Linked DNA regions of Struthio camelus. The protein of the gene in region 4 purifies or fractionates together with the protein of the main gene of each other region. This does not show direct contact. Links are inferred from orthologs where the notes say so. Each region holds a gene or a part of one and is shown on either strand. Other genes may lie near its edges. The genes, in order: ARPC2, ARPC1A, ARPC5L and ACTR3B.

Region 1 (7,277 bases), on a different chromosome or scaffold from region 4:
CACCCCAACCCTGTCTCTTCCCTGTCCCCCTTCATTCTCCCCTCCCATAAAAGAAGGGTTTCCTTGATTAGCACATGTATCTTCCCGGGTCCCCATCTCTGATCGACCCTCTCATCTTGGGGTGGGGGCTTCCCATCAACGCAGCACCTCTACTCGAGTTCAGTCCCCTCCAGAAGACACCTTGGCCCTTGAGCATCCCTGGATCCCTCTGGTATGTGTTGGTCCTTCAAGCACCTCTGAGCTCTTTGGGCATTTCTGCATCCTTCAAGTACCTCTGGATCCCTCCAGCATCCCCAGCCCCTCAAGGATCTCTCCACTGACTCTGCCCCTCCTGCCATCCTGCACAGCAGTGATGCTGCAGCCATGGTGTTAGGGAAGGAGTGGAATTTGGAAGGTCTGAAGGTGATTTCATGCCTTTCTTCTCCCCCCAGGTCCTCTCCCTGTGTGACAAGTTTCACCCCTGGGATGGAAGAACATGTTGCCCTTTGCAGGTGGCTTTGGAAACATTGCACATCTCTGGTTTTCCTGTTCCTCTGCTCAGCACTTGCCACCCTTTAGCTCTGCCATAGTGGGGAAATCACAGGTGACAGTTGGTTTTTTGCGTCTTTTGGCATTTAGGACATGGCCTGTGCACATCATCCCCACCTCCCTGAAGACTATAAGGTTTCATCTTTCTCCCATTGTGGATTGAAGCTTCCTTTTCACTCCAGTTTCCATTTCTTGGCCCCCTCTCCCCATCTGTACTTGGAGTTGCCAGACCTGCTTGGGGGCTGCTGAGGCCCCACAGAGCTGGGAGCCCTGGCTCGGGCCCTGAGCTGGCCTGGTTTGAACACAGCCACTCTCCCTGGGAACAACTTTCCCCTTCTGCCCAGTGGGGATTTCCCCGCTGCAGCTTCTGCTGGTGCCTTTGCCCTTTTGCTGGGCCTCTCTGCCAGGAGCTTGGCTCTGTCTTCTCTATAGCCCCCATCAAACAGCTGAAGACAGCGATTAGATCCCCCTTTCGCCCTGTCTTCTGCCAGCTAGACATACCCAGCTCCTTCCATCTTCCCTCTTACATCCTATGCTCCAACCCCTGTGGCTGGACCAGCTCCAGTTTGTCACAATCTCTTCTGCACTGGAAGCCCAGAGCTGGACCAGTGCTCAGCCAGGCTCCCACCAGTGCCCATGGAGTGACAAACCCTCCCCGGGCTCTGCCAGCTCTGCTCCTATGGAGATCTCTCTCCATCTCCCTGGTGGGCCGCAGCCTGGGGCATTGCTGGCACCAAAAGGGAAGGTCCCCAAGGCAGGGCTGCTGCAGGCTCCTCAGCCTCCATGGGCACTGAGCAGAGCCAGACACTTGTGCTCAGGGTAGAAGAGACACGCTTCCCCTTGGGGTATTTTTGGCTTCTTGTTTTGACTCCCCTCTCAAAATCCCTGCGGTTCTTCCGGCGACCAGATTTTCCTCACCCTACTCTACCCCCCTCCGTGGGTATCAGGCTCCCAGCCCAGCCCAGGGCAGCTCGGGAGAACAAGAAGCACCCAGTTTCCTCCCCAAACCCTCCGCCATGGAAGTCCTCCCTGTGAACCAGCTGGCCCAGCAAGTCCCTTTGCGGGAGGAAGGAGGGACGGAGCATGGGGAAATGTCCTCCCAGCCCACCGCCACATGCAAAGGAAATGGGAGCAGGTGCTTTCGCCTGCAGCACCCGCACTCCCCAGCCTCAAAGAAGGGAAGGATTTGCCCCCATCGAGGAGCCAGCTGAGATCAGCCCCAGGCACAGACCCCCAGGCTCGCCCTCAATGCCAGCTCCTTCCCCACCGTATCCAGCTACCCCTGTGCAAGACGACCCAGCTCTCAGGGACCAGTCAGACGCAGGAGACCACCCCGGCACAGTGGGTGCCCCCACCCCTGCCTGCCCTGCTCCAAACACGGGGGCAGGCAGAAACTTAGCCGTGGAGCTCCAGGGCTGGCAAAGCCGAAGGAAAACCTCAGGCTCTAGCTGAGCATCCTGCAGACTTACCAGTCTCTTCCTTAGCTGCTTCCCCCAAGTCTAGAGTCTTTTGCCCTTCCCAGTCCAGTTCTTGTCGGGAAGCTCCCCAGGGATTTTGCCAGTCCTTCCTCTCCTTGGTCTCACTCTCCGCTGCAGGCTGAGGTGGGGGCGAATCCGAACGAAACCCCCAAACGGCTGCAGAGAGGAGTTCGGCGGAAGCGCAGAGCGCTGGGGGCACGCGAGGCCCGTGGGGGCTTGCTGCGCTCCAGCTCCTCGGCACCCACCAGGAGAGCCAGAAGGTCCCTCACCTGCGCTGTCCACCCGTGCCTCTCCTCTTCTGGCTGCTTTATGTCACTCAGGCAGGAAGCGAGGTTGCAAAACCATTGCCCAGCCTGAAGCGGAAGTGGCAGCCAGAAGTGACCCTTTCCCAACTCCCTGGACCGCCTTCCCTTGGACGGGGGATGTTCAGCAGATTCTCGTTGCCCTCCTGGCCCATGGCGGGTGGCCCTTTGGGGACCGCAGCGTCCTCAGCCGCCCGGCAGTGGATCACACGTGGCCGCATCTGGAGGGGAATCACGTCTGACCTGCAGTGGTTCCCCTGTGGGTGCTGGCACCGTGGGCCCAAGGCACCGGCTCCGGCCTGGGGGTGCCACCAGCTCCCATAGGCCCACCACAGAGAGTGGACAAGGTTTCCATGTGGGGCCTCCTGGGTGCCACAGCCTTCCTGCAAGACCACAGGGCCCCTCGAAGGCTCCACCTGCCCCATGGCAAGCATTTGGCCCGGTCAGTGAGCCAAAAGGAGGATGTGGCTCTGTGCCTCAGTTTCCCCATTGATAGAGTGAAGAGTTCCCCCCCCACCCCGCCGTGCTGACAGGACACCGCAGGAGCAGGGACACCCGCCAGGAGGAAGAGAGCCAACCGCAGGCAGCACAGCCCAGGTCGAGATTTCCCCAACCGCAGCATTTCACCAGAGCCCGGCAGAAACCCACCCCCCAGCTGACGGGACGGGACAGACACGGCCCCCCCCCGGGGCTGCGGCCGGCCGGGGGCAGGCGCCAAGCCCTTTCCCCGGCTCTCTGCAGCCGCTTCGCTCCGCGGGACCTACCTTGACCTGGGACCTGTCAGCACCCACCAGCTGCCCGCCTGCGACCCCAGGGCCAGCCGCTGCCCCGCAGCCGGGCTCCAGCCCCCAAACCTGCCACCCCAGCTGGGCGTCAGGGCGCCGGGCTGAGCCCCCTGCAAAGCCTGGCAGAGCCGTCGCCGGCCCCGGGGCTTGGGGGCACCGCAGGGCACCGCCAGGCCACTTTGTCCTTGCTGGGTCGCTGGGACCCCGAACCCCGCAGCCCCCCCCCCCAGCGTCCCTCCCGCCGCAGCTCCCTGCCGAGCCGAGCCGCGCCGCGAGGAGGTGCCCTGCTGCTGCCCGGAAGCGGCTGCGTTTCGGGGTGACCCTTTGGGGTGACACAGCCCCCCGCCCCGACCCCCTCCCGCAGGAGAAAGTGCCGAGGTGGGCGGCGAGGGGCACTCACGCCCCCATCCCCCTTGAGGGGCTCCCAAACCCTGGTGGCACCCCCAGTGCCCCACAGCTGCCTGGGGCACCCCCATGCCCCCTGGGCACCCCGTTCCCAGGGGCACCCCACACTTTGGGGGACCCAGGGGTGCCCCCACGCTCCCTCAGGATGCTCGAATGCCCTGGGGGCACCTCATGCTTTTGGGGACCCCCCCGGGGTTCACCCACTCTTTTTGGGCAACCCTGATCCCTGGGGATGCCCCCAAAATTTGGAGGATCCCATAACCCTGGGGCACCCCCACATTCCCCGGAGGCACCCCTATGTCCTGGGGGCACCCCATACTTTTGGGCACCCCACACCCTTCTGAGGCACCCCTGCCCCCTGGGGAACCCCCACATTTTGGAGGCACCCCACTTTCCTGGGCCACCCCCAGACACTTGGGGACTGCCCTCCCAGGGCCACCTCCATCCCTTGGGGCCCCTCTGCGCCCTGGAGCTCCTCAATACTTTTGGGTCCCCCCAGGACCCCCCACACTTTGGGAGCACCCCACTTCCCTGGAGGCAGCCCCAGACATTTGGGGACCGCCATCCCCGGGCCACTCCTATCCCCGGGGGCCTCCCTGAGCCGTGGGGCCACCCCCACGCTTTTGGGGACCCCTCCGGGCCTCCCACACTTTGGGGGCTCCCCACGCCCCTCCCTTCCCCGAGGCAGCCCCGCCCCCTGCGCTCCCGTGGGCGGGGCCGGCGGGCCGTGACGTCACGCGGCAGGAGGGGCGGGGCGGGGCGCGGGGAGCTCGCGCGCAGGCGCCGCCGCCGCCCGGCTCCGCCGCGGCCGGGCCGGAAGTGACGCGCGCGCCCGAGAGCGGAAGCGGCGGCGCAGGCTCGGGCGGGTCCCCGGTGCGCGCAGCGGGCTCGGCTCCCTCCGGCCTCGGCGCCCTGAGAGGCCGCTCCCCTCCCCCCGGCACCGACATGATCCTGCTCGAGGTCAACAACCGCATCATCGAGGAGACCCTCACGCTCAAGTTCGAGGGCGCCGCCGCCGGGTAGGGCCGGGGGGGGGCCGGTCCGGTGAATGGGGCCGGGCCGGGCCGGGCCTGCCTGGGGCGGGGACAGAGACAGGGGCGGCGGGGGCTGGGGGGGGCAGAGCTGTGGCGGGGCCTGCGGGATGACGGGCTGGGAGGATTGGTGCCAGGGCCGGGCGGGGGGTGACGGAGCTGGTCTGGGAGGGCTGGTACCGGGGCGACGGGGCGGTGACGGAGCTGGGATGGTACCGGGGCAGGATGGGGGCCTGCGGGATGACGGGGGCCGGTCTGGGAGGGCTGGTACCGGGGCAGGATGGGGGCCTGCGGGATGACGGGGGCCGGTCTGGGAGGGCTGGTACCGGGGCAGGTTGGGGGCCTGCGGGATGACGGGGGCTGGTCTGGGAGGGCTGGTACCGGGGCAGGATGGGGGCCTGCGGGATGACGGGGGCTGGTCTGGGAGGGCTGGTACCGGGGCAGGTTGGGGGCCTGCGGGATGACGGGGGCTGGTCTGGGAGGGCTGGTACTGGGGCAGGATGGGGGCCTGCGGGATGACGGGGACTGGAAGGGGAGCTGTAGGAAAGGGCTAGGTGGGGGGGGGGGCATTAGTACTAGAGTAAGATAGATGCCTGCAGGGTGGTGAGGCTGGTCTGGGGGAGGGGGTGGAGCTGCGAGCGGGTGATCTGGGATCTGGGCTGGGGGAACAGAACTGAAGTGGAGGAAGTAAGAGTTAATTAGAGCTAGGGTAGAGTGAAGGCCTAGAGGATGAGGAGGCAAAGCTAGGCCGGCAGAACTAGAAGAGAGAGCCAGCCTGAGTGGTGATGGTGGTGCCAGGGCAGTGTGGAGGCCTGGTAGAAGAGGAAGGGGCTGGAGAGGGTACAGAGCTCAAGGAGGGAGAGCTGAGGGGGGTAGTGTTAGGGCAGGCTGGGGGGGGTTGGACTGGGCTAGGGGAGCAAAACTGAGGGAGGGGGCCCTGTGAAGGTGACAGCTGGGCTGAGGACATGAGGGATGAGGATATTGGGCTGCAGGAAGAGGAGCTGGTTGTAAAGACTGAGTTACTGAAAAGGAAGAAGGTGAGATACGGCTGAGAAGAAGAGGAGTTGGCTGCCTTACAGGGCTCGGGCCAGTAGGATGAATGGTGATGGTGCAAGGTCTGAGGGGGGAGAAGAGAGAGACAAAAAGGAGGACATGGGGACTGGGATAGGAGGCGAAGGTGGGGAGCAGGGATGAGGGGAAAAGGAAGGGGTGGGACTGTGGGACAAGGGTTGGAGCAGTTCAAGACAGAGCTGCTGCTGGGGAGGAGGTGCGTTTACAGAGATGTTTCTTATAGGATTTCAAATTTACTTCTGATAAAGCAACCTGCATCAGAGCAAGTCCAGTTTAGGCCTAGTGAGTGTCCTGGCCCAGGGGGTGGGGTGGGGGGGAGGGAGGGGGAGCCTGGTTTGCGCCTGCATCTCAGGCTGGGACAGTTTAGTCCCTGTGGAGCCAGTGGCTGTTTTACTGAGAGTGACACACTAGCTTCAGTGCAGAGGCTGTAAAGGTGCTTATCTGAGCACAATTTAGCTGTGGAAGACAGTCACTTGGTATAAACGTCCTTATCTCTAGGCAAGCTACCCGTGCTCTCGCTGTGCTGAGCGCCACAGCGCCGGTGTGAGTAACACTGGGCACCTTTGTATGTAGACAAAGCCTGGAAAAGCAAAATGCAGTAGTGTTATCTCTGGGGTGGAGCCTGTGTTCAAAGAGCACAGACCAAGCTGCCTGGGAAGAGACCCCCCCACCCCCCCAGGCAGGTGCCTTTTTCTGTTTCACTTTTCCCTTAAGTTGCTTTTGAAGCTCTTCTGCCTTCTGGGTTCAGAACTTTGATAGAGGCCGTTTCCTCTGGTTTCCCCTCTCAGCTGACTTCTGTGTTGGTTCTTGCTTTTTTTTTTTTTTTTTTGTTCATAAGATAGCCTCACAGACTGCACTGCTTTGTAGGATTGGTGAGCTGCTTGCCTCTCTGCAGTGAGGCTTTTTGTTCTTCCTGAGCGTGCTCATTTAATGCAACAAGTTTCTCCAAAGCACAGGCACCACAGTGGGAAGAGAGAACTCCCAGGTGACTCTGCTACGGTACTGCAGCTGCGTCCATTAGAAAATATTATGTATGCGGAGGTTAATAGTGTGTGTCAAAAACGCTCATTCATTGCATGTTCATACTAAGGCACTCTTCCTGTTGGAGCAAGAGAATGTGCCTGTGTCCTTAGGTTGATCTAAAATGCAGCAATTGCAGTGGAGGTGGCAGTTTGCAGCCATCAAAAGGTTGTGTGCACCTCGAAATCCTGGCTTCGTGCAACTAGAACTGGGGTTACTCATTCTGCAACGGTTTGCAGCCCTGCAAAGTTTCCATTTTGCTGTACAGCAAAGCCTCACTTCTGCATCACCACACTTGCCTGGCATACCAATTGTTCCTGGACTGATTCTTGGTTGCTGTTAGTGTGGCTGATGATGTTCTATGTTTTCCTCATTTACAGATTGTTCCTTTGTTTAGAAAAACAACAAACTAGATGTTGTTTCTGTATAATTTTTGTGCCTTGGGTGCATTGCTGAAGGGGAGGAAGTTATTTACTTCTGCGTTTTCTTTTGTGCTTGTGCTGAGGCCCTCCTGTCCAGGCAAGCACAGGGTGGAAATAAAGGTCTGAGACATGCGGAGAGGTGTATTTTTTTTTTCTGCAGGTTGTAAGTCTTCTAGCAAGTGAGTGTTGCTCAATATTTATTCATGTGAGATGTCTTCTCCCTCCAGCCACAGTT
Region 2 (7,005 bases), on a different chromosome or scaffold from region 4:
TCAAAAAAGAGAGAGGTTTGGAACATTTTGATGGGAATTTGCCTGGACATAACAGTAATTCTGTCTTCTTCCTAGCGAGCTGATGAAAGCTAAATAAGACGCTACCGCAATACAGCTTCAGTGTCCTCTTTTTTTTTTTTTCCCCAGGGTACTGCACAGCTTACCATTTTAAAAAATTGCTAAAGTAGTGATAGAAACAAGTCTAGGATATCAAGAAGACACCTACGTGGGAAAGACCGGAAGAAAGACAACAAAATCTGCAACTATCTGCAGAGAGAAGAACTACCCGTGTGTCAGACCTGAAAGCTTGCAAATACACTTCTCGAGTATACTTAGAATGATGGAAGGCACATCTAGTATAACTTGAAAACGATCTGTGCTAACACGGATATTGCATTTTTCATGTCAAGGACAGAAATAATTCTTCTCACTGGTAGTCCTAATGCTTAGTCTTAGAAGAGCTTATTGTATGAGAAAAACTTGAAGTTGCTGCTTTGTGATGCTACCCCTTTTACGGTGTCAGAGTTGCTCACCTATAATGCTATCACATGAAAAGAGAGTCTCCTTCCCATTCCCGCTCTCCTGTTCAATGCCTTGAGCCAGCCAGTATTAACAATACCAAGGCACAATTTTTCTGTCACAATCTAAAATGGGGATAACTACTGCTGCCATTTTCTCCACTTTTCTAGTGGACATCATTTTCTGTAGGAGCTAGAGTAAAACTGCTGTCTTCCAAACCCCACTATGCTGCTGTTGGTCACCAAGCCTTGCTTGGACAACTGGAACAAATGCATTTAGGCATACAATCTTTGAAAAGCAGGCTACCAGCAGGACAGGTGTTGCCAGATGTCATACTCTTTATACTTTGCTCTAGAGGTGGTCATTTAGAGTTTGAGCCTAGGGCCTGAGCAGCAGGCTCTTACCCACTTCACTGCAGATCTTATCTGGCAGGGGGGTAAAAGCAGTCAGGAGCAAGCTCTTCCCTACCTAGAAAGCCAGTACGGAAAAAGAGACGGCACAGCAAAATTTTGGTTAAAACGCAAACAGGAAGCATTCTGCCTTCTTTCCCATTCTGTATTATGGCCATTTAACACATTCCACAAAGTTAAAACAGGAGTTGACAAATAGGACTTTGTATCAAGTAGCCAAAAAGCAGGACAGTGACATAAATTAACTTTCCCTGCTTAGAAACCCCAAATTTGAAAGTACTAAAATCAATAGTGACTTTATCTGATCTTAAGGCAATGCTCTTTAGAATTCAAGAATATTATTGATGAAAACAGATTTTGATAAAACTATTATTATCTAGATAGCTATTCTAGAGCAGCTGTCAGGAAACGCAATTAGGAAAGAAAGACATTTGCTGTCTATCCCTTTTAAACATGAGGCATGTAATGATTCTCTCTCCATGGTTAGGAGTGCTGTATTTTCAAATACTGGAGCTAACAATGCACATCTAGAACCCCTCTCACGGCAAATATTTTCATTTGCAAATATCTGTTTTTACATACAATAGCTTGCTTTGAATCCAAAAGACCTCTTTTTGACTAGCTTGTGACCCAACTGCATGCAGTCGCTATTTAAAAAAAATGCCAACAACGGCAAAGGATGTCCCAACTCTTTTTTTTTTTTTTTTTCCCCATAAAAATCTTACTGTCAGACTGTATCTAGACTATTTTTACTGAGCTCAGTTCAGCCTAGCTTGTGCGGCCTTAATAACAAAAACATTGGCATCCTTTCTGGATTAGCACAGCACAATTGCATCAGCAATACAGCAAGAACAAAGGTGGAAAACTCTCCAAAATCCTTCGCTGGAGACAAGACCGTAACATTTAATGTTTAAAAGTTCTGAGCTCCTGCAGAGGTCCTTGTTTAGTTACTTTCACCTTGTCAGGTGAAAATCATCTTGTAAACATGGAACCATACTTAGAAGTAATTTCATTCATATTATGTAATTTTACTTGGCCTAGTTGCATGTGTTTAACCTGTGCATCTGATCTAGTTTTGTTGTTAATCCAGTAAGGGCCGCAATGATTACTTATCTCAGAGTTACAGAACTGTAGTGACACCGGTTCATGAGATCATCTAGTCTAGCCTCTTATCCAAAAGCAAGATCTTATATTGCATTTATGCAATACTAACAAGTATTTTTCAAAACTATTCTCAAAAACTTCTGGTAAGAGCCCACATCTCATCAAGACAGTTCCCCATAGTGCTTAGATAGGGATTTTCAACAATTTGAGCTTCCACTGTAACCTAGATCTCCATTGTTATTATTTTAGCTTATGACTTCTTGCCCTACCCACAGTGGACATAAAAGAACAAATTGTTCCTTTCCTCAGAGCAGTAGCCTTTTATGTATTTGGAGACTTACTGCATTTTTCCCTAGTCTTCTCTTTTCTCAACAGCCTCAATAAAAGTCACAGGTTAAAAGACTCTGATCGTATTTTTCACCTCTTTCTCCAAATTATCCCTAATTTTCTTATGTGGAGACCAGGACCGGATATACTCATCTAGCAAAGATTTTATATAGCTCAGTAGAGCTGAACAATTTCTGAGTATGTCTTACTGACGATTTGCTTAATCCTCATAGCCCTGGTGTGGTGTTTGCCTTTTCTGCAACAGCGAGACATTATCGATACCTATTCGGGAAACAGTACAGCTCCTCCATCCTTTCTTGCAGAATAGCCAGCTGCCCAGTTGATCCTGTCCTGTAATTCTGAAGTTGATCATGCTAGTGTACAACTGTTAAAGAACTGCATCCTATTTTTTCATAGAGTTGCTATTCTGAATTCTAGCTCCATGACCATGTACTTATGCTGCCGTTAGACTCGATCTCATGTTCAAATGCAATAATTATAATCTCATCATTGGTGAGTAATGGGCCCAGGGTAGCTCCCAGTAGAAGCACTGATATCAAGTATATTTTTCTCAACTAGTTTTGCAACTCCCTTAGAACAGTATCATCTAGACTGGTTTCCCAGTTTATTATTAGACTATCCTATATGACATGCGCTGCTTCTCCCTTATCTGCAAGCCCTGTTACACTGCCAGAAAAGGAAACTGGACTGGTTCAACCCATTCTTGACAAAGCCATACTGGTTAACGTTCACTTTCTCATTTCCTTCCAGATGCTTATAAATTTTTTATTTTTTCCTGGGACTAGAAATTAAGCTTACTACTCTATGGCCCCCCCAGCATATCTCAGAGTCACTCATCTCTCCCTACTGCATGCCTCAAAGACAACAAAGTTTGTAAGTTTTACAGAAGCCAAATCATCAGACCCCAAATGGCAGGCAACTTCTCTAGGGAATTAAGAGTAGGGCAAAGAACTGCAACTGCATTTCTTTCTATATTCCAGCCAGATAGGAGGGAAGGTCCTAGAGCTCCTGAAGACCCAGGAAGGGACTGTTAACGCCTGCACTAAGAGGTTCTTTTTCTTTCTTTTCACCAATCCTTTGGTCTCCAAGAGGGAGGAAAGCAGGGAAGGCGTAGCACTCTGCTTTTCCAGAACCTGAAGAAGTCAAAATTATCAAGCTCACAAATCCCACTGCCTCCACCTCTCGGCTCTAGGGCTCTCCTCACACCCTGACAGGCCCACACAGCCACCCAGCAAGCCGCAGCGGCCTCGGCGCCTTCACACACCCCCAAGGCTCCAGGCCAGGAGACGCCGGGTCTCCTGCCCCCTCTAGCAGATGTAGACATGGTCTCCTTCACCTCACGAGGCTAAAAAACACCAAGACCGACAAAATCACTCTCTTAACGCTTCTCCCATACTCACTAAAATACTCCCCAAAACACCCCCCTCCTCCCCGGGGAGCAGCAGCCGCCCCCGACACCACCCACCCCCTCGCGGCGCCTGCGCGCTCCCCGCGGCGCATGCGCCCTCCTCCCCCCACCACGGCCGCCTTTGTGTGCGGCGCTCGCCCGACGCCCGTGGGGCGTGGCCCCCGTCCCGCGCAGGCGCAGAGCGACCACCCGGCTCCCTCCCCACCCTTCCCCGGCTTCCCCCGCCCCTGCAGCGCGGCGGCGGCGCAGGCGCAGCCCGCGGGGCGGGCGGCGGGCGGCGCGCAGGCGCAGAGCGCGTTTCCTGGCTCCCTTGTCAGTGCCGGGCCGCCCCCTTCCCCCCTTTCCCCCCTCCCTTTCGGCCTCCGCCGCCGGCCGCTCCCTCTGCCGCCGCTCGGAGCGGAGTCGCGTTGACTGACCAGAGTCCGCGAGTCCCGCTCCGCTCCCGCCGCCTCAGGTGAGCCCCGCGCCGCGGGTGGCTGTCCGCGGCGGCCTGCCACGCGCGGAGGGGGGCGGAGGAGGGGGGGCCTGCCGGTGCCGCGGGGATGGCGGAGGAGGAGGAGGAGGGAGATTCACCTCAGCGCGGGCCTGCCCGGGGGGGGGGAGGGGAGGGGCGCGCTCCCCCCCCCCTCCCGCCGCCGAGAAGGGGGGAGGGGGGACGCCCTTGTGGCGCCGGCGCCGCGCGTCGCCCTGAGGGGACGGGGCGCCCGGGCGGTGGATGGGGCCGCGGTAGGCGGCCGCCGGGGAGGGGGTGAGGGGCGGGGGTGGGCTCGGCGCTCGGCTCTCTCCCGGTCGAGCAGTGGTGTTGTCAGCGCGGGCAGGGCCGCCGGCAGCCATCCCGAGCCGGTCGGCTTTGTCAGGCTGATGGTGTGCCGTGCCTGCGGGGAGCGACCCCCCACGGGAGAGCAGCGCTGCGGGGACTGGGACGGGGATGACAGCGGTAGGAGGCAGCCCTTAATTATAGGCGCTTCTCTGCCAGATGTTTGCAGATGATGTCGGCGCTCTGAAAATAGGCAAGGATTAAAAAGTTATCTCTCTGTCTCTCTCCGTCTCTCAGACGTGCGCACACACGTGCTATCTCAGATTCCAAACCCCAGTCCTTGCTGGTTGCTTGGCCCGGGGTAGCCTTATACCGCACATTTTTTACCCCGTTGAGGAATGACAGCAGCTGAGTCCCGTCTTTCCCAACCACCACCCTTTCAGCCTGCATGCCCAAGAAGCTTGTGCTGTACAAGCATACAACATTTCCATTTTTTTTTTGCACTGAAACTCAAGGACAGTTACTCTGCATTTGACAAAAAAAAATTAGGGATAGCTACCCTAAGTACCTTGCTGACAAAGTTAGCTTAAGAGCACCTTTTTCCTATGTGAGATCCTGAGATTGGCTGCAGGAGGATATTAAGGTTTTTACTACCTATCAATTGTATCAAGATTCACAGAGAGAGTTGTGTTTTCTGTAGTGAAGTGTGAGTTTGATTTTGTCTGCGCGTTGATAAGGAATAAATATAGCTGGAAGATTTCATTACGATGTATCTTCCTAAAGAAAAAAAAAAACTGCAAGTTCAGACAGGAGAACTAGTAGTGCTTTTTGAGGTTATCATCATTATTGTTTTTTATAAGTTTGTTACCAAACCAAAAGAGGAAGCTGTCACTTGCTACAGGTTATGGTGCTTGAGAAACTCTATCAGTGGGCAAGGATGGATCATATCTCCTGTCTAGATACAAGTTTTTGGAACAGCCAGTGGGTTAGAAAGTAAAAATCCCTGAACTAGGTATTATTAGGATGAGACTGTGCCTTTTATACATAGTGCCAATCTGTGCAGAAAATACCAGGGCTGTATTAGAAAGTGCTTTGAAATAGCTACATTCCTTGGGGAGGGGGGAGAATTAGATGTTTTTAAATTTTTATTTCGGAAAGAGTAGAAAAAGCTGAGCATTCCTTGTTGGTAGAACAGCTCTTCAACTTTTCCTGTATATGGAAATGTACTGCTACTGCATGTTGGCAAGTACGAAAGCAAGATCGTGGAAAACGCAATTCACAGACATGTTTTGCTTACATTAACACATGGAATCTCAAATCATGGCTGTCCAAGGTCAAAGGTAACTCAGATTATGTCAACAAGCTCACATTAATTGAAAAAAATTATTTTGCTTAGCACTGCATATATTTAATAGCTTAGTTTGGTTTGCAGAATATGATTATTAGGAGAATCATGAAATTAGTGTCAGTTAAAATTAGGAATTGGACTTAAAGCTCATGTAGTTGAAAGTTATGATTGAAGTACACTTCCAATGCAATTGGGAGTCGTGTTTCTTTAAGTTTAAAACAGCAGTGCATGATTTCTTTAGAGAAGAGTCTTTTCACCCCTTTGCATTAATGAGGTGCTATGTCATCTCTACTTCAGGATTCAGCACTTTCTGTGTATTTGATATACTAGTGCTGTGATAGTAATTGCTAAACTCAGTAAGAACTTGCTCATCTTTCATTCACTCCTCAGTTTCTATTGAATTGCCATTCATTTCCTGTTTGCCTCCAAATTCCTACCTTGCCCTGAAGTCTCCACCCTCTGCTAACATGGCCATACTTGGGTATGTTGTAATTTCAGGCTATAATGGGTGTGGATGTCTTGGAATGACACCACAGAGGTTTTTCTTTTTAGATGTAGATGTAGAGGTAAAAGACTTTGATCCATCAGCCAAGAATAAATTGCTATGAAATATAGTGGAATATACAGAAGGAGGATGGAATTGGCAAATCTAAGTTGTATGTGCTGAACTATGCACATTTTAATTATTATAGGTGACCTTGAGCTGCTGTGATGTTATCTTCCATCCATTTATGCTGCCATTGATTAATGCGAGACATAGAATATGATATGAAATTTTAAACAGCTTTGCACCTCCAGTTGCAGATGTTCAGGGCCATCTCTTCTGATGTAGTTATAAGTTAAAGAAAAAACTGGGTAGCTAGTTTTTTTTTCCCCCAAAGTATTGACAAACTAGACTAATTTAGCTTGTTCTCTTAGTGTTTAAATCTCATGGGGAAGAAAACATAACTATAGAACAGTTAAGTGCATGTATTAATTTGAAGAAATTAGTAATTAATTACTGTTTTTTGTAATTTTTCCCTAGGATACATGTGAATAGTTTTATCAAATAATATGTCAGCAAATTATAGTTGTCTATGAATGTTCTGGACATGTCAATTTAATCTCCTGA
Region 3 (7,208 bases), on a different chromosome or scaffold from region 4:
GTGCCTGAGCCCGGACAGCACCAGAAGAAACTTACCTTTTCATGCCATTGAAGTAATATTGCACTGCTATTTTCTGTTGGCTTTTCAAATCCTTTATAAATGTACTTCATTAACAAGTCAATGCCATTTCTGTCTAAGGAGTTCACTGCTTGTTCTATTTCACTGCTTTTAAAAGATGTGAGGACTTTAAGCATGGTTCCCTGGGCCTGTTCCTGCAAAGACCACAAAAACAAAAAAACAAAAAAACAAAAAACCATTAGAGCCAGCAAAGCTGGAACTGTATCAAAGACCTGTGTTTGACAAAAGTATGCTCAGAAGACCACTACATTAAAAAGTTGGTCTATTTATTTGTTGTAACCAAGCAGGTTAACATTTTGCACTTTAAGTTTTAGTAGCGAGAAGGGTGGGTACATCTTTTTAAAAGTGGATTTTTTTCATGCTTCTTTCTCGGAAGGGCTAACTGAAAGGGATTGCAGAATCATCTGCTGAGCTGTAACAAATTCAACAGTGCAAGGCCAAATTCCTTGTTTTAAAAGCATATTGCAAAATCCACATGCAAACACTGCTTCAGGTATGTGCTCACTAACTCCATCAATTGCTTTTCTGAGTAAGGAAACTTTGGTTTATCCCAAGAACATCATCCTCTTCTTTACAAGCATCAGCTGCTCCAGTGTCCCTCCTGTGGCAGTTAGAGCTGGGCAGAAGAGCAGCACAGACCTGCGTTCATTTACGAGTCTGCTGTCGCAGGCTAGCTAACAGGCCATTTGCATCGAAAAGCAGCAGCATTATTGCTCAAGAGCCTGCCTATGGATGGTGCAGCTGAACACAAAGCGATTGCCTGTGTAGAAAATACAGCGTATTGCTGTAGTCTATCACTAATTAACAGCACTAAGGTATTAATCAGATTTCTGGAGAAATGCTGAACCATTTGGAAGTGCCCCCACGATCCGCTGCTGAAATCTAGGGGTGGGTGCGTGCCTGCTGCGAGGCAGTGACAGAGCCGCTTCAGGAAGCGCAGAGGTGCCGCTTACCTTCATCGCCTGGTTCTTGGTGTTAACAGGAGAATTCCTTATGGCTGTGTGGAAAGCTCGGAGCGTATCGCCTGTGCAGCACAGCAAGTCAAGGACTCGAGCCGGTCGGTTATTGGCACCATCATAACTCACTCCAACCCAACCGACAATCTTGTATACAAACTTTGAATACCATAACAGATGATAAATGATGTGTTTTATAAGAACGATTTCTGGACACCAGGTAACAGCCCGATGTGCCACAGAAGGAGACCAAGAGCACAGGGAAGCAGTCCGCAGCTACAGCTAAGTCGCGCGATAAGCCCTGCCGCAAATACTTTGTTACCGGGGTGCAGCGGGGCGGCGCGGGCAAGGCGCAGCTCCTCGGGAGCTCCGGCTCGCCCTCGCCGGGAACCCCGCCTGCACCAGGGGCGCCTGCCTGCACCACGGGTGCCCCACCTGCACCGGGAGCACCCGCTTACACTGGGGGCGCCTGCCTGGACTGGGGCACCCACCTGCACCAGGGGGCCCTGCCTGCACCGGGGGTGCCCCACCTGGACCGGGGGTGCCCCACCTGGACCGGGGGCGCCCACTTGCACTGGGGGCACCTGCCTGGACTGGGGCACCTACCTGCACCGGGGGGCACCCCCCCCACCTGCACCAGGGTGCCTGCAAGCACCGGGGGTGCCCCACCTGGACCGGGGGCACCCACTTGCACTGGAGGTGCCTGCCTGGACCGGGGGCACCCCCCCACCTGGACCGGGGGTACCTGCCTGCACCGGGGGTGCCCCACCTGGACTGGGGGCACGCACTTGCACTGGGGGCACCTGCCTGGACTGGGGCACCTCCCTGCACCGGGGGGCACCCCCCCACCTGCACCAGGGTGCCTGCAAGCACCGGGGGTGCCCCACCTGGACCGGGGGCACCCACTTGCACTGGGGGTGCCTGCCTGGACTGGGGCACCTACCTGCACCGGGGGCACCCCCCGCCTGCACCAGGCCACCTACCTGGACCGGGGGCACCCACTTGCACTGGGGGCACCTGCCTGGACTGGGGCACCTACCTGCACCGGGGGGCACCCCCCCACCTGCACCAGGGTGCCTGCAAGCACCGGGGGTGCCCCACCTGGACCGGGGGCACCCACTTGCACTGGGGGTGCCTGCCTGGACTGGGGCACCTACCTGCACCGGGGGCGCCCCCCGCCTGCACCAGGCCACCTACCTGGACCGGGGGCACCCACTTGCACTGGGGGCACCTGCCTGGACTGGGGCACCTACCTGCACCGGGGGGCACCCCCCCACCTGCACCAGGGTGCCTGCCTGCACCGGGGGTGCCCCACCTGGACCGGGGGCACCCACTTGCACTGGGGGCACCTGCCTGGACTGGGGCACTTGCCTGCAGCGGGGGACACCCCCCCACCTGCACCGGGGTACCTGCCTGCACCGGGGGTGCCCCACCTGGACCGGGGGCACCCACTTGCACCGGGGGCACCTGCCTGGACTGGGGCACCTACCTGCACCGGGGGACACCCCCCCACCTGCACCAGGGTGCCTGCCTGCACCGGGGGTGCCCCACCTGGACCGGGGGCACCCACTTGCACTGGGGGCACCTGCCTGGACTGGGGCACTTGCCTGCAGCGGGGGCAGCCCGCCTGCACCGGGGGCACCCGCCTGCACCGGGGCAGCCCGCCTGCAGCGGGGGCAGCCGCCCGGCCCGGGGCACCCGCCTGCACCGGGGCAGCCCGCTCTGCTCTGCCCCGCCCCGCCGGCCAGGGCCGCCGCCCGCTCGGGGCCCCGCAAGGATATTGCCGCAGCAGCGCCTCCACCTCGGGGCCCGCGTCGGGCTCGGCCGCCGCCGCCGCCGCCTCCTCGGGCTCCTCCACGAAGCGGTTCTCGTCGTAGGCGTCGATGTCGAGGCGGCGGAAGCGGGACGAGAGCGTGCTGCGCGCCATGCCGCCCCGCCGGAACCGGAACCGGAACCCCAACCCGCTCCCGCCGGAACCGGAACCGCGGCCCGGGCCCGCCCGCCGCCCCCTCTCGGCCACAACGCGGGGCTTGTATCGGCACTATTTAACCTAGAGGTGGATTTCATTTAAGATACGACTTTATTAAAAATACAAGGTATCTGAAAAAAATCAGAACAATTATTTTAATGTACAAATTCCATCGCTGTAGCAGATCTTGGTGTATTTTTAACCGAAGTCTTAAAAAAAAAAAAAAGGGGGGGTGGGGGGCAGCCCTTTCGACCACTTTATTTTGTATCCACTTAAAACAAGATATAGCAAGGACGATTCAGTTCTACGTCTCGGACGTGCACACAACACAACGCGTTTGCAGCCCCATCGTGCACACTGGATAGTAACTTTGCTGCTGAAATTTCTTAAAACTTACGAAACAAAAAGCTGAGTAATGCAACAGGACTGACCTGGTTCCAATGTATTATGATTTTAAAAGGAAAACGTTTCATCTAAACCCAGAAGTACGTAAGAACTACATGCAGTAGTATAAATGTCAAGGACATATTACAAATATTCTGAAATGAATCTAGGGTAGGAAAAAGGAACTTGCTACAGACACCATAATACACAATAAATTTAGATAATTTAAACATAAAAAAAGGCAAGAGGCAGCATTTCAGCAGCAAAGTGCTCAATAAAAAGTATATTGTAAAGGGATAGTTACAAGGGAGCAGGGAAATGGCAGGCTGGGGAAGGTCTCAAAGGAAATAGGGTGTAGTTGTTCTAGGAGGAATTACACGTTCTGAATCTGGAACTGCACGGAATAGCTTTGGTTCTCTTGTATTTACATCTTTAAAGACCATGATTGACGCAATATTTCCACAACGGTAGCAGTAATTTGGTGCAGACCATACCGTTACCAATTTCTCATCAAACATGAATTTATAGCCTTCGTGCACTAGCTGATGTGCTCTGCAGATGAGTTTTAAGTTGTTGATATGAACAAACTGTAATTTAAAGGAGGGGGAAAAAAAAAAAAAAGGCGTGTAAATATTCTCTGTGAAGAGCTGCACATCATCACCCACACAACAGCCTTCCCCATTTAGAACACCCTCCCGAGACCCCGTATCGCAGCTGGTCAACAGGTTTGCTCCCAAACCTGCCCCAAAAGCTTTCTGCCAGAATCCTGCCAGGTTTCAGCTGCACAGAAGATACTTCAAGGCTCCCGCTTCAACATCTCTGAGAGGAACCAAACTGAAGTAGCCCCTTGTTTTCACAGAAGCGCGGCCAGTCACGTTGACCTAGCCACATCACTGTCATCTAAATGTGTTATTAAAGCTAATGGTGCCATGAAGGGACCCGTCTTTTCAAAACATACTGAAAAACACCCAGTCGCCGATGAGATGGCTAAGCCTGCGTTGTGTCCACAACGTTCACACTTTCCTGAACATGCTGCAGTAAGACCACAAAGGACAACGAATACCCTGAATCAGGCTTTCCTAACGCAGCTCGTTCAGAAGCCTCAGAAGGTCAACAAATTTTAGCCTAGGGAAGTCTGCTTACTGTTTCGCTAAAAGTAACAAAAATTAAGTCAGGAATTTTTAGGAAAAAAATGTTCCAGTGGTGTTTTTTCTCCTAAATCTCTAGGGAGGTATTTCTGCACAAAGCCTAATAAAATTAGTTAGTCTCAGAGAAGGGTTGAGTTTGGAAGGGACCTTTAAAGATCATGCAAGTCCAACCCCCCCCACTCACTGCATTCTACTTTTAAAACGCAAGATCAGTATCATCTCATCTGGCAGGGTTTTGTTTTGTTTTGTTTTTTTAAAGTTCAAACGGCTCAATTTTTTCGAGTTGGTTTGAATTAGCAACAATAAAGCAAAAGCACCTTCTTCATCAGCACACAGCTTACTCAGAGCTATCTTAGCAGGAAAGTTAGTCATCTCACACAGTCCTCAATCTGTTAAGCACTAGGATAAACACCAAACTTGTAGTTAAACGTCTTAATTTATCTCATAACTACAATTACTTTATGCTGCGTGCAATAGCATCATTACCTCATTTGTCACCTTTGCACCAAACAGCCAGCCTGCTCCCCGTGGACTAATCGCCCAAGTATCTACATCTTCCGGATCAGACCAGACAAGGTCACAAAAGGCTCCTTTATGCGGAATTTCTTGATTACGTTCAATGGTTCGAATTTGATCGAGTGTCTTGATGTCTGGAGACAGGCCACCATGCACACAGAGAATCTGCTCATCTATTAACTGGAGAAAAAAGGCACGCGTGTCAAACGCACAGCACTTCAATCCAACTCAGAACTCTACCAGCGTGACCCTTAAAGGCCGCTAATTCAAGAGGTCACATTTAGACAATCTACTTAGATTCTTTTTAAATATAGCGTTTACACTTACAGCTGCTATTGTGAGCATGTCAAAGACTTTGGTACAGTATCTCCAAGCATTAGCATTTCCATATTTGGTTTGGCACTCATCTGTTAAATAGAGAATTTTTTTCTTCTTAATGGATCAGAAGAAATTCAAATAATAAGAACAGAGGCAAATACTTACAGCAGAACTTGAAAAGTCAAGTGTGTAATAAAAAGCATTATCAGGAGCACCAGTAAATGCTCAGCGGGAAGCTGTCTGTCTTATTGTCACCTAGGTCCACTAGTAGGAAGCACACTCAGATAGCTAACATTCTTCACTCCCTTGAGCAATACAGGGGGTGCTGGAGCGAAAACAGGATCTCACACAACACGACTTATGATGTTTTCTCTGCTCCCTGCAAGTAGCTGGCTGGGACATTCCAGACCAGCTGAATGTTTGTATTACAGAATTTTACACTGGAGATTTAAGGCAAAAATTGTGAAACTATCTGGGCTACTTAGTTTTCCTGACTACAAATAAGACTTACAGTAGCTTTGCTTAGTTAGAAAGCAAAACAAGACCAAATTATTCCCATTTCTCATAAAACCAGAAAGAAATCAAAAAAAAAAAAGTAATTTGGCAATGGTAAATTAATGCCACATTCGTGTAGCTATAAACTGGATGTAAGCAATTCTGGACTGTATAGCCCTGGCAGAAAAGTATTTCTTTGGAGCCTTAAGCCATTTGTCAACACTTCTATTTGTTCTTGTTGCCACATTATCCCAGAAAATGCATATTACAGTCTACATGTTCCCTGTGGCAGGTGTTAGTTATTCTGCCGAATTTCCTCAGGTGTTATCAGGTTTATTTTGCAGGATTTCCTCACACAACTAAAACTTTCCAAGCAATTTAATGGTGTTGGTTTTTGGAACAGTCGCCCTACTGCTTCTTTCTAGTCAGTGGCATTTTCCCCCATGCCTGTTGCTGACAATAAATAGCTTCCATAGCAAACTCTACACATTGTGTTGTTTCTCAGCTATAGCGAAGCCCAAAAGGAATTACAGCAACATTACGATTTCTCCTGGAACTTTTCATTAAAAGATATGAAAGCACTTTCTGTACAAATATATTATCTTTCTCTGTCTCTAAAAATCAAATAGGGTACTAAAACCAAACAAGAACATACAGGTGCTGGAGGGAAAAAAAGCAAGCTAGAACTTTGTCAGATTAGGTTTTGACTTTAGGCACAAGAAGTCCAACAGCGAACCACTGGACTAAAACATGCTCCGCTTCATGAATGCAAGGATCACGTTAACAAATTATAACATTCCAGTTTTACTATGCCCGTTTCCCACCTGGTTCTAGGAGAGCCACAAGTAGTGCTGCATTCAAAAATCAGATGTCCAAGGGGAAAGATAAGGTAGTTGTTTATTACATTAGCCATCATTCAGAAATCATTTGGATAAAGACTTACCATAAAATCCATACACTTGAGTTATCTGCCTGCTTTCATGATTGCCTCGTAACAGTGTGATACGATCAGGCCATTTAGCTTTTAGTGCAAGAAGGTAAGTGAAAGTCTCAAGACTATAATAACCTCTATCTACAAAGTCACCCTGCAAGTCAAAGAAAATTCATAAATGGAGAAACAGTCACATTCAAAAGCAAAGCGATAGATCCATTCTTAATTTCTCAGTGCATAAGGAAATCTAACGCTGAAAGAAAGCCTGGCATCCACGCTCTACGAAAACAAGTTCTTTGGTTGTTTGGAGTTTTAAGTCATTACGTGCATCTAAAGCTACCCTGACGCGTAACCGGACAGACGCTCAGACTGTTGACTACAACACCAAGTACAACTTTCTGTTTGACGCGCGT
Region 4 (7,397 bases):
GGCTTTGCAAAAGTAGGGATTTTTTTTTTACTAAAAGACAATGGAAGGACTCAAATAAAATATCCCACAAACAAAAGTATTCCTCAATGTCTGCAAATATACACACTAAGCAGGAGACAGGTATTTTAAGCCATCTTTGCTTAGCGCACCACCCACCTACCAGAGTTCTGATGTCCCACAGCTAATAGTCAGTTAACAAAACTAGTTTTAAAGTTTACAGCTATTTAAACAGTAACACCAGAAAAGCCTGGCTGTGCTAAGAATCTAAAAATAGCATGTCCTTTTCCATGAGAAGATTGATAGCAACATGACCACTAGAAAAACTCAAAGAAAATAAAGACATAGGGCATCAAAATCAAAGTAGAACAGGTCCCTTGCAAATACTTTCAAGGAAAATAGCAATCATTGCAAATAAACTCTTGCTGCTTTCTGCAGAATTTATCATAACCTTTATTCACACAGAAAGTTTAAGTCATCTGTCTAACAGAGGAAAGGAATACTACCCTGCCCTGCTATAACAACATGTTTCTCGCTTAAGGTCTGTACAACTGTTGTTTGTTGCTTTTCTGTTGTTGCTTTTTTGAGGAACTTCAGCATCGTACACGACCGAGGCCTATGACTGCAAACAATAATAAATTAATCCAGGCTCCTTCCGCACGTGACAACAGTGACCAAAAAAAACATCTGTTCACAAACTTCTGAAGTCCACTTATACGAAAAAAAACAGGGATTAGCGCCTGGACAAAGCACCTCATTCAGTACCAGAGACTTAAAGTAGAAAAGTGTGTTTTATACACACGATGTTCTGCAGAGCAGGTCTGCATATAGCTTTTCCTTTCAACTATGCTCTTCCAAGCTTTTCATCTGAAAGCCTTTTCATGGAGAATTTGAACAAATTGTTTGGAGCTTGTAAACCCAAAGCAGATTCATTCTAACAATAAGAAGGTTTTCAACCCACACAGGAAAATTCCAGAGACTGCACATCAGTGAGTCAAGCTACTTCTGGCTGCTTTCGTTCACAGTCTTATTTTTTTTCTCTCCAATTCTGCAAGATTACTTGTTCCAGATTTAATAAGCTCGTTGCTGAAAAGTCTCTAGATTTGAGTGCCCTGCAGGAAAGCCAAGCAGAAGTCCAAGTGAAACACCACCTTATCTCATATGAATTAAGACCATTCGGGGGCATGGAAATACAAGTCCCACCACGTGGGAGCTATCTGAACCTTTCCTGAAAGAAACTGATATACAGGCACACGTACAAACGCCATCAGTTTTTCCCATGCAAGAACGAGACAGACTTTACAAACTCTATTTCAATGATTATTTTCTCTCCACATTCGCTTATTCTGTACGACTGTTGGTCAGCAACATCTATCATGAGTATGACATTAGGATCACTCCACAAACGGAGAGCAAGAGCGGTGGGCTTCTGCAAGAGACAGCAATCACGTTTGGTGCTTTTTCTGGATTTTGTAGTTTATATCGCAGGTTTTTCAAGGGCTACGCTCAGAGCTCCCAGACTTTAAATCTGTAAAGTAACACTAATAGGTCTGTGGAGAACCTACTTAAACTATCTTCAGTAAATAAATAAAAGGAACCTTAGAAATTACCCAGGAGTATCTAGTACCTAGGCAGAACTACAGCAAGACAGACGCCCTTCTCGATTCTTCTACCACAGCTGAACACTTTGGACTCCAGTATTCTCCACTGAGGGGACAGAGCTGATTTCTATATAAACGTAGATAGAGATGAGATAGGATGAGAGACTTTTGAAAGTTTTCTGACTGTTTGAGAGAGACGTACCTCAACATATGAAATCCTTTTTCAGAAAAAGGAGGCAGTGTGACACCACAATAAACGGAAAACAAGGCACTTCCTCTTGCTATCTAGCCTTTAAAAGGGGGGGGGGGGGGGGGGGAAGGAGGCTGAGCTTTGGGAATGTTGAAGGTAACTTCCCAAGCGTTAAATAAACGACAACAGCAGAGCAAGAGCTTCCTGAAACTCCCTGCAGGAGGAAGGTGTACTCTTAACGCAATCCACAACCCCTGACAAGCAAAGTTACGTCCGGAGAGTCACTCACGGACGTACCTCTCCTCCCTTTACTCACAGCTCCACGATGCTGCTGGGCCAAAGGAAAGGGATTAGCAAGAGCACCGCTGCAGGTTCACTAACACCCCCCCTCCCCGATTTCGGCGCCCTGTGCCACCTCCGGCTCCTGAGGCACAGCGGAGCGGCCCGCTGGGCTGTCAGATGCACGGGTCTTCTCCAGCCACCGCCAGGACCTGGAAAGACCCGCTCCGCCGAGCGCGGCCCCTGCCCACCCGAGGCCTCGAGAGAAGCGAGCCGCAGTCCTCGTGCCCCGGCTCGAGGCAGCACGCCTCTCGCCCCGACCTGACGCCCAGCTCAACGCGGGGGCGCCCGCCCCGCCCGGCCGAGAGACGCCGCTGACGCGGGGCCCAAGCGCCCTGCGCTGAGGGAGGCTACGGCGAGGCGGCCCGCGGAGGCCGACGGAGACGCGCCCTGCCTCCCCCCCGGCCCGCACCACCGCCGGCTCCGCTCGCAGCTCCGTTAAAAAACGTTAAAATTAGAAGCAAGGGGAGGAAACGGGCAGGCGGGGCCACCGCACGCCGGGGACGCGCGGGCGCAGCGGCTCGGTGGAGGACGCGGGCCGGGGACACCCCCCGCCCGGCCGGGCCGCCAAGGGGCGGAGGAGCGGGAACGGGGGGCGCCGGCGGGCAGAGCCGGAGGAGGGCAGGGGGCTGAGCGAGCGCCAGCCCCCGCAGGGACGGAGCGGGGAAGGGGGGGGGGGGGGACCGGTGCTGCCCGCACTTACCCGGTGCCTCCGTCTATCACGCAGGGGGGCAGGCAGGTCGCCATGCTGGAGAGCCGGCACCGCGGGCCGCCGGCTGCCCCGGCGCGGCTCGTCCCTCACTGCCCCGGCCGCCCCGCGGACGCGGGCACCATGCAGCCGCCTGTCAGCGCCGCCCCCGGCGCGCATGCGCCGCCCCGTGACGCCGCGCCCGCCCCCTCCCGCCGGCGGCCATCTTGGGTCGGCTGCGGGAGCGCGGCGCCCGCCTGTCGCTTGTCACCTTCGTGCTGTTACGGCCTCAAAGAAGCGGGGTGGGGGGAGAGGAGCTGGCCGGCGGCCGCGCACCTCAGCGAGGTGCTGCCTGCGGTGGGGCACAGCCCCCGCGCCCCTCTCGGAAGGGCGCTCCTTCACCCCGCGCCTCTTGGCCTGCCCGCCCGTGCTGGCCCCCCGCGACGCCTTGGGGCAGGTTAAAGGTTCTTTGCAGCGAGGGTCGCCCACCCCCGAATGAACGTTACGGAGGCTGCTGCCCGGCCGAGCAGGGCTTGCCCTCGTGCTTCGCGTGCCGGCGAAGGCGAGGTTTACACCGGCGTTTAACCAGTCGATGGTGGAAACGCAGAGCTGGGTGCAGGTGGCTACACTGCAGCCCGCAAACCCTCCGGGTTGGCACTAAACCAGCCCAGAACATAGCACGTTCATACACGCTTCTCAAAGCGCTTGAAAACAGGCTGCCACAAACATCACCTGCAAAGTTGATGATACCTAATTTACATACACAAGAATGATTTCTCATAAGTGACTCAGCCACGGTCATACTGTGAGTGCGTGGTAGAGCCAGAAATAGACCCTCCAGCTGCTCAGGCCCAAGCATTAACCACAAGAGCAATTTTGTTTCCTATGAGGGTGTAGCTTTCTATCACCCTCTCCCATCTCCCAGTGGCTACACAGGCTTGGGGCTTGTGCGTGAGAAGAGCGAAAGGCATCCTCCCCATCCACGGAAAGACGGTGCCTTTGGTGTGACAGCTACAAGACTGTGCGAATGCCCTTAGGGGGTTGTTCAGCCGTTTACCACAAACTGAGCATACTCGATCAACATATTTGCTCATACCGTTCCCCTCAGAGATGCTGGAAGATGCACAAAGCATCATGGAAGCCGGCCCATTCGTTTGTTGGGAGGGCTTCCTTATCGGTATGTTGAAATAGTTACTGGAGCCTCAATGTTAGCTCAGCTCCAGTGCTAGAGATTCAAGCCTGATGGAAATCATCTGTCCCCCTCTTCAGGACAGTCAAATCAAAATGACATGGTAAAGGTATTGTTTCAGGGGCCAACGATACATCTGAGAAAAGACAGAATATGCTTTGACTTCCTTGGCCAAAATTTCCCCTTTCTCATGCTGTTGCACAATATGCTGCACTGGGCTCAGAAAATGTGTGCTCACACACTGTGGGCACATCATGGGAAAGTAGAGAGTCACAAACGTTACATTTTTTTCTCTTTTTTTTAAGAAGTCCCTAGCTGCTAGGGCTGTGGAGAAAGCCTCAACTGTAAACACAGATACTGCCATAGCTTACATGCAGTTTACACACTACAGACATTCAGTTTTCACACAGCTGCAGAGGCTTTAAACTCTGTGCCCTACCCTTCTCTTTTCAAGCTGTTTATCACCATCCCTGGGGCACAGATTACTACCACCGTAGCTCTCCCAGCTGTTTGTGTAGGTGTTCCCTAACCCACTTCAAGCAGAATCAGCTGAGAGAGTTCAAGCGGTTCAGCTAGGTGCTGGGAGCTAACTCCGTTGATTTTACCTGAAGTGGGTTAGGGAGCACTCAAACAAATTGCTCTGTTAGCAGAAGTGAGGGGAGGGGTAAAGCACAGTAACATCTTAAACTGCTCCAGCTGGATCCCGAAGAGGACATCTGTCCACAGTCTAAGTAACAAAGAGAAAACTCCATGGAGAACCTGGAACAGAACTGTGCCACAGAACTATGAGAACATAGGTGAGCTGATGAACTTACCAAGCAGCAGTGAGAAATGTGAAAACACTCGTTCACCTTGGTGATACATTAGAACTCAAGTATCTAGTGATTACTTAAATGACAATAACGGTAACTATCTAATTCCTCAGGAATTAATAAGAGAGGAAGGAGAAGATACCAGATCTATACAGCTTAAAGATGACAGATTCTTCCGATAGCATAACCATACAGCATTCAGAGCATACCATTGCTTCTGCCTCGGGCTCAGGCATTATTTGTAGTTTCATACTTTAAGATCACACAGGGACTATTACGTCCTTTTAGCCTTTTCCATAATATAGGCTACAACAGTTTGCTTAGAGTTTAAGCTATACTGAAAGGGAAATAGGAACACAGGAAGCACCAGTGATCTCATTTTGACTATCTGTATAGGCTACCATGAGTTAAACGAGTGAAGCTATGCTGCTTTATATTGGTTTGTCTACACCTCTTTTCACCACAGTATCCAAATGCCTTTGAGGAATGTGTTAAGCGATGTGGCCAATATCTGCCATTCTTTCATTTTTGTCTCAAAGGAAGAATTGTGTAGGCAGAAGAGGGTTTTTTTAATTTTGTTTTGGGGTATTTAAAGTGTTCATGCTACAGTACATTTACAATCAAGAAGGTAATCTAAAGAAGCAGAAGGTGTTGAAGTTTTGAGAGGCCTTTAATTTCTGTGAGACTTTGTTCAACAGTAGCAAAGCAGCCCTCCAGAAACTTTTAGATGATTCTTTGAATAAAGGAGTCTGCACTTAGCTATGAGAAGCCATTTATGTAAGAGGAGGCTGGTTTGGATGCATTTGCAATAGCTTTGTGTTATTAAGATGAGCTGCACGTTTTGTTCTAGATCATGCATCTTAAAAGCTGATAGTGTCATGCTCAGATATATCACGTTGCTATTTCAGAGAAAGGGTAACGGAAACCTAGCTTCAGTTGCATATGTAGTCTGCCAGGAGGAGACATGGGTTCCCAAACAAAACGCATGCAAAAGCTTAGCAGCAGCTCAGAGTCCAGGGACACCACCACGTTAATTAGCAAGTTAACTAATTGTGTTTGCCTACCCTCAAGTAAATGAGACTACAAAAAGGTTTTCTTTGCTTACATAACCTCTCCCCTGCTTGAGATCAGCTTCAGTCAGCTTTTCTTCATTGATGAGCTGATCTCTAAGAGCACTAGGCTAGCTTAGCGGTAGCGATAAGACCTAAGAGCTGGTGAAGAACTATACTGCTGGCACTTAACGTTCACATTGCCCGAACAGCTTACCTGTACACCGTATGTTCATGCTGAGTTCTAGCGAAGCAGCTAGTTGAGAAGGTATATTCTTCCATCACTGCTTACTTAATACAAACCTTCACAGAGGACTCAAGAACATTCTCCTGCACCTCTGCCTCCTCTCCGAGAGGTCAGCAGCATCTTGAATCAAGTAATATGAGTGTGAAAAAGCACGATCATACGCCCCTGACATTTCAGTCCTATCCAAGTATCATCCCCCATCCAAAATAATCTCAGCTACGTGTTTTTAAAAAGCTACTTTCAAGTCCAAAACTTCCATCTCTAGATAAATGGCTAGCCATCGCTGTTCTTTTAAACTTTGATTTTTAGCAAGCAGTGGAGGACTGTTATCAGATCATATTCAGTGAATTACCTTTGAGTTAGATAAACTACACCCTCTAATTTTGTTCATCTGACCAGCCAAAACCATGCTTACATACTGGTCACAAATATCTGATTGCAGTCTCAATTTGTTTTCCTACTAGCAAAAAATGATGATAACATCAGAAAGACTCAATTCAGAAGTTCAAAAGTAGCGGCACAAAAGACAGATCTTTAATCCTGGATCATTTCAAACATAAGGCTAGTTTAATGGCAGCTGCTAAGCAGCTGTCGTCATACAATTACTAGGAAAGGTCACCAAGTAATGGTGTTCACACACTAGAAATCACAGAGTGGAAAGTATGTGGAGATGGAGAAGCTAAATGGCTGGAGAAGCTGAGCTTTCCCCCCCTGAATGGCTGCAGACCCACACATACACATATACACACACACACACACACACACACACAAAAGGAGCAACACAGCGCAAACTATCCATCCAAATTGTATCTGCAGACCACACATTAACCTATTGTATATTCTTTTTATCTACATAGACCTCTGTACAGCTATTTCTAAGACCACTCATGAGCAAGGTACTTAAGTCCATCTGTAATTTAAAGTGTGTTAATAGTCCCACTGAAAACAATACAATTATTCACGTCCCTAAGGCTATAAGCCATTTAAATAACTCTGCAAACTGGGGCTTAAAACAAGCTTTAATTCGTACCGAACAGTAGACCTTAATATATTCTGGCAGAAAACTGCAAGCTGCTTGTGCAAACAGAATAAAAAGTGCTTGCTGTCTTTAAATTATATTGGAGTCTTATGTTATGCAACAAGTTAAAGAGGGTCAGTGGTTTGTTTGTTGGGGTGGGGGGAAGGAGGAAGACTTATATGTCTTTTGTAGAACCGGTGACTTACTTTTTAGTGTCTTTCCTAGTTCTATATTCCATTGTTCCAGATCCTTTATTTGTTTCATAGG

Evidence for each region.
Region 1: the proteins of ACTR3B (region 4) and ARPC2 purify together in Homo sapiens (affinity purification with mass spectrometry; 6 studies listed by BioGRID and IntAct, counting the BioPlex papers as one, with this or other methods). This does not show direct contact. The link is inferred for Struthio camelus from reciprocal best matches to the Homo sapiens genes ACTR3B and ARPC2.
Region 2: the proteins of ACTR3B (region 4) and ARPC1A purify together in Homo sapiens (affinity purification with mass spectrometry; 5 studies listed by BioGRID and IntAct, counting the BioPlex papers as one, with this or other methods). This does not show direct contact. The link is inferred for Struthio camelus from reciprocal best matches to the Homo sapiens genes ACTR3B and ARPC1A.
Region 3: the proteins of ACTR3B (region 4) and ARPC5L purify together in Homo sapiens (affinity purification with mass spectrometry; 3 studies listed by BioGRID and IntAct, counting the BioPlex papers as one, with this or other methods). This does not show direct contact. The link is inferred for Struthio camelus from reciprocal best matches to the Homo sapiens genes ACTR3B and ARPC5L.

The regions. Positions count from the first base shown.
Region 1 is NC_090947.1:28,618,545-28,625,821, reverse strand, and holds the start of ARPC2 (actin-related protein 2/3 complex subunit 2), read left to right. Parts: upstream 1-4,260; 5' UTR 4,261-4,443; coding exon 4,444-4,517; intron 4,518-5,828; exon of another isoform or gene 5,829-5,882; intron 5,883-7,277. UniProt on the Homo sapiens protein: Actin-binding component of the Arp2/3 complex, a multiprotein complex that mediates actin polymerization upon stimulation by nucleation-promoting factor (NPF).
Region 2 is NC_090956.1:4,596,086-4,603,090, reverse strand, and holds the start of ARPC1A (actin-related protein 2/3 complex subunit 1A), read left to right. Parts: upstream 1-3,992; 5' UTR 3,993-4,243; intron 4,244-7,005. UniProt on the Homo sapiens protein: Probably functions as a component of the Arp2/3 complex which is involved in regulation of actin polymerization and together with an activating nucleation-promoting factor (NPF) mediates the formation of branched actin networks.
Region 3 is NC_090961.1:1,255,241-1,262,448, reverse strand, and holds the start of ARPC5L (actin-related protein 2/3 complex subunit 5-like protein), read right to left. Parts: upstream 3,014-7,208; 5' UTR 2,962-3,013; coding exon 2,836-2,961; coding exon of another isoform or gene 2,816-2,835; intron 1,194-2,815; coding exon 1,032-1,193; intron 213-1,031; coding exon 36-212; intron 1-35. Other genes in the region: PPP6C (serine/threonine-protein phosphatase 6 catalytic subunit), read right to left, coding at 3,726-3,974, 5,022-5,231, 5,379-5,458, 6,808-6,949. UniProt on the Homo sapiens protein: May function as component of the Arp2/3 complex which is involved in regulation of actin polymerization and together with an activating nucleation-promoting factor (NPF) mediates the formation of branched actin networks.
Region 4 is NC_090943.1:8,634,656-8,642,052, reverse strand, and holds the start of ACTR3B (actin-related protein 3B), read right to left. Parts: upstream 3,004-7,397; 5' UTR 2,875-3,003; coding exon 2,831-2,874; intron 2,575-2,830; exon of another isoform or gene 2,540-2,574; intron 2,408-2,539; exon of another isoform or gene 2,204-2,407; intron 2,117-2,203; exon of another isoform or gene 2,086-2,116; intron 1-2,085. UniProt on the Homo sapiens protein: Plays a role in the organization of the actin cytoskeleton.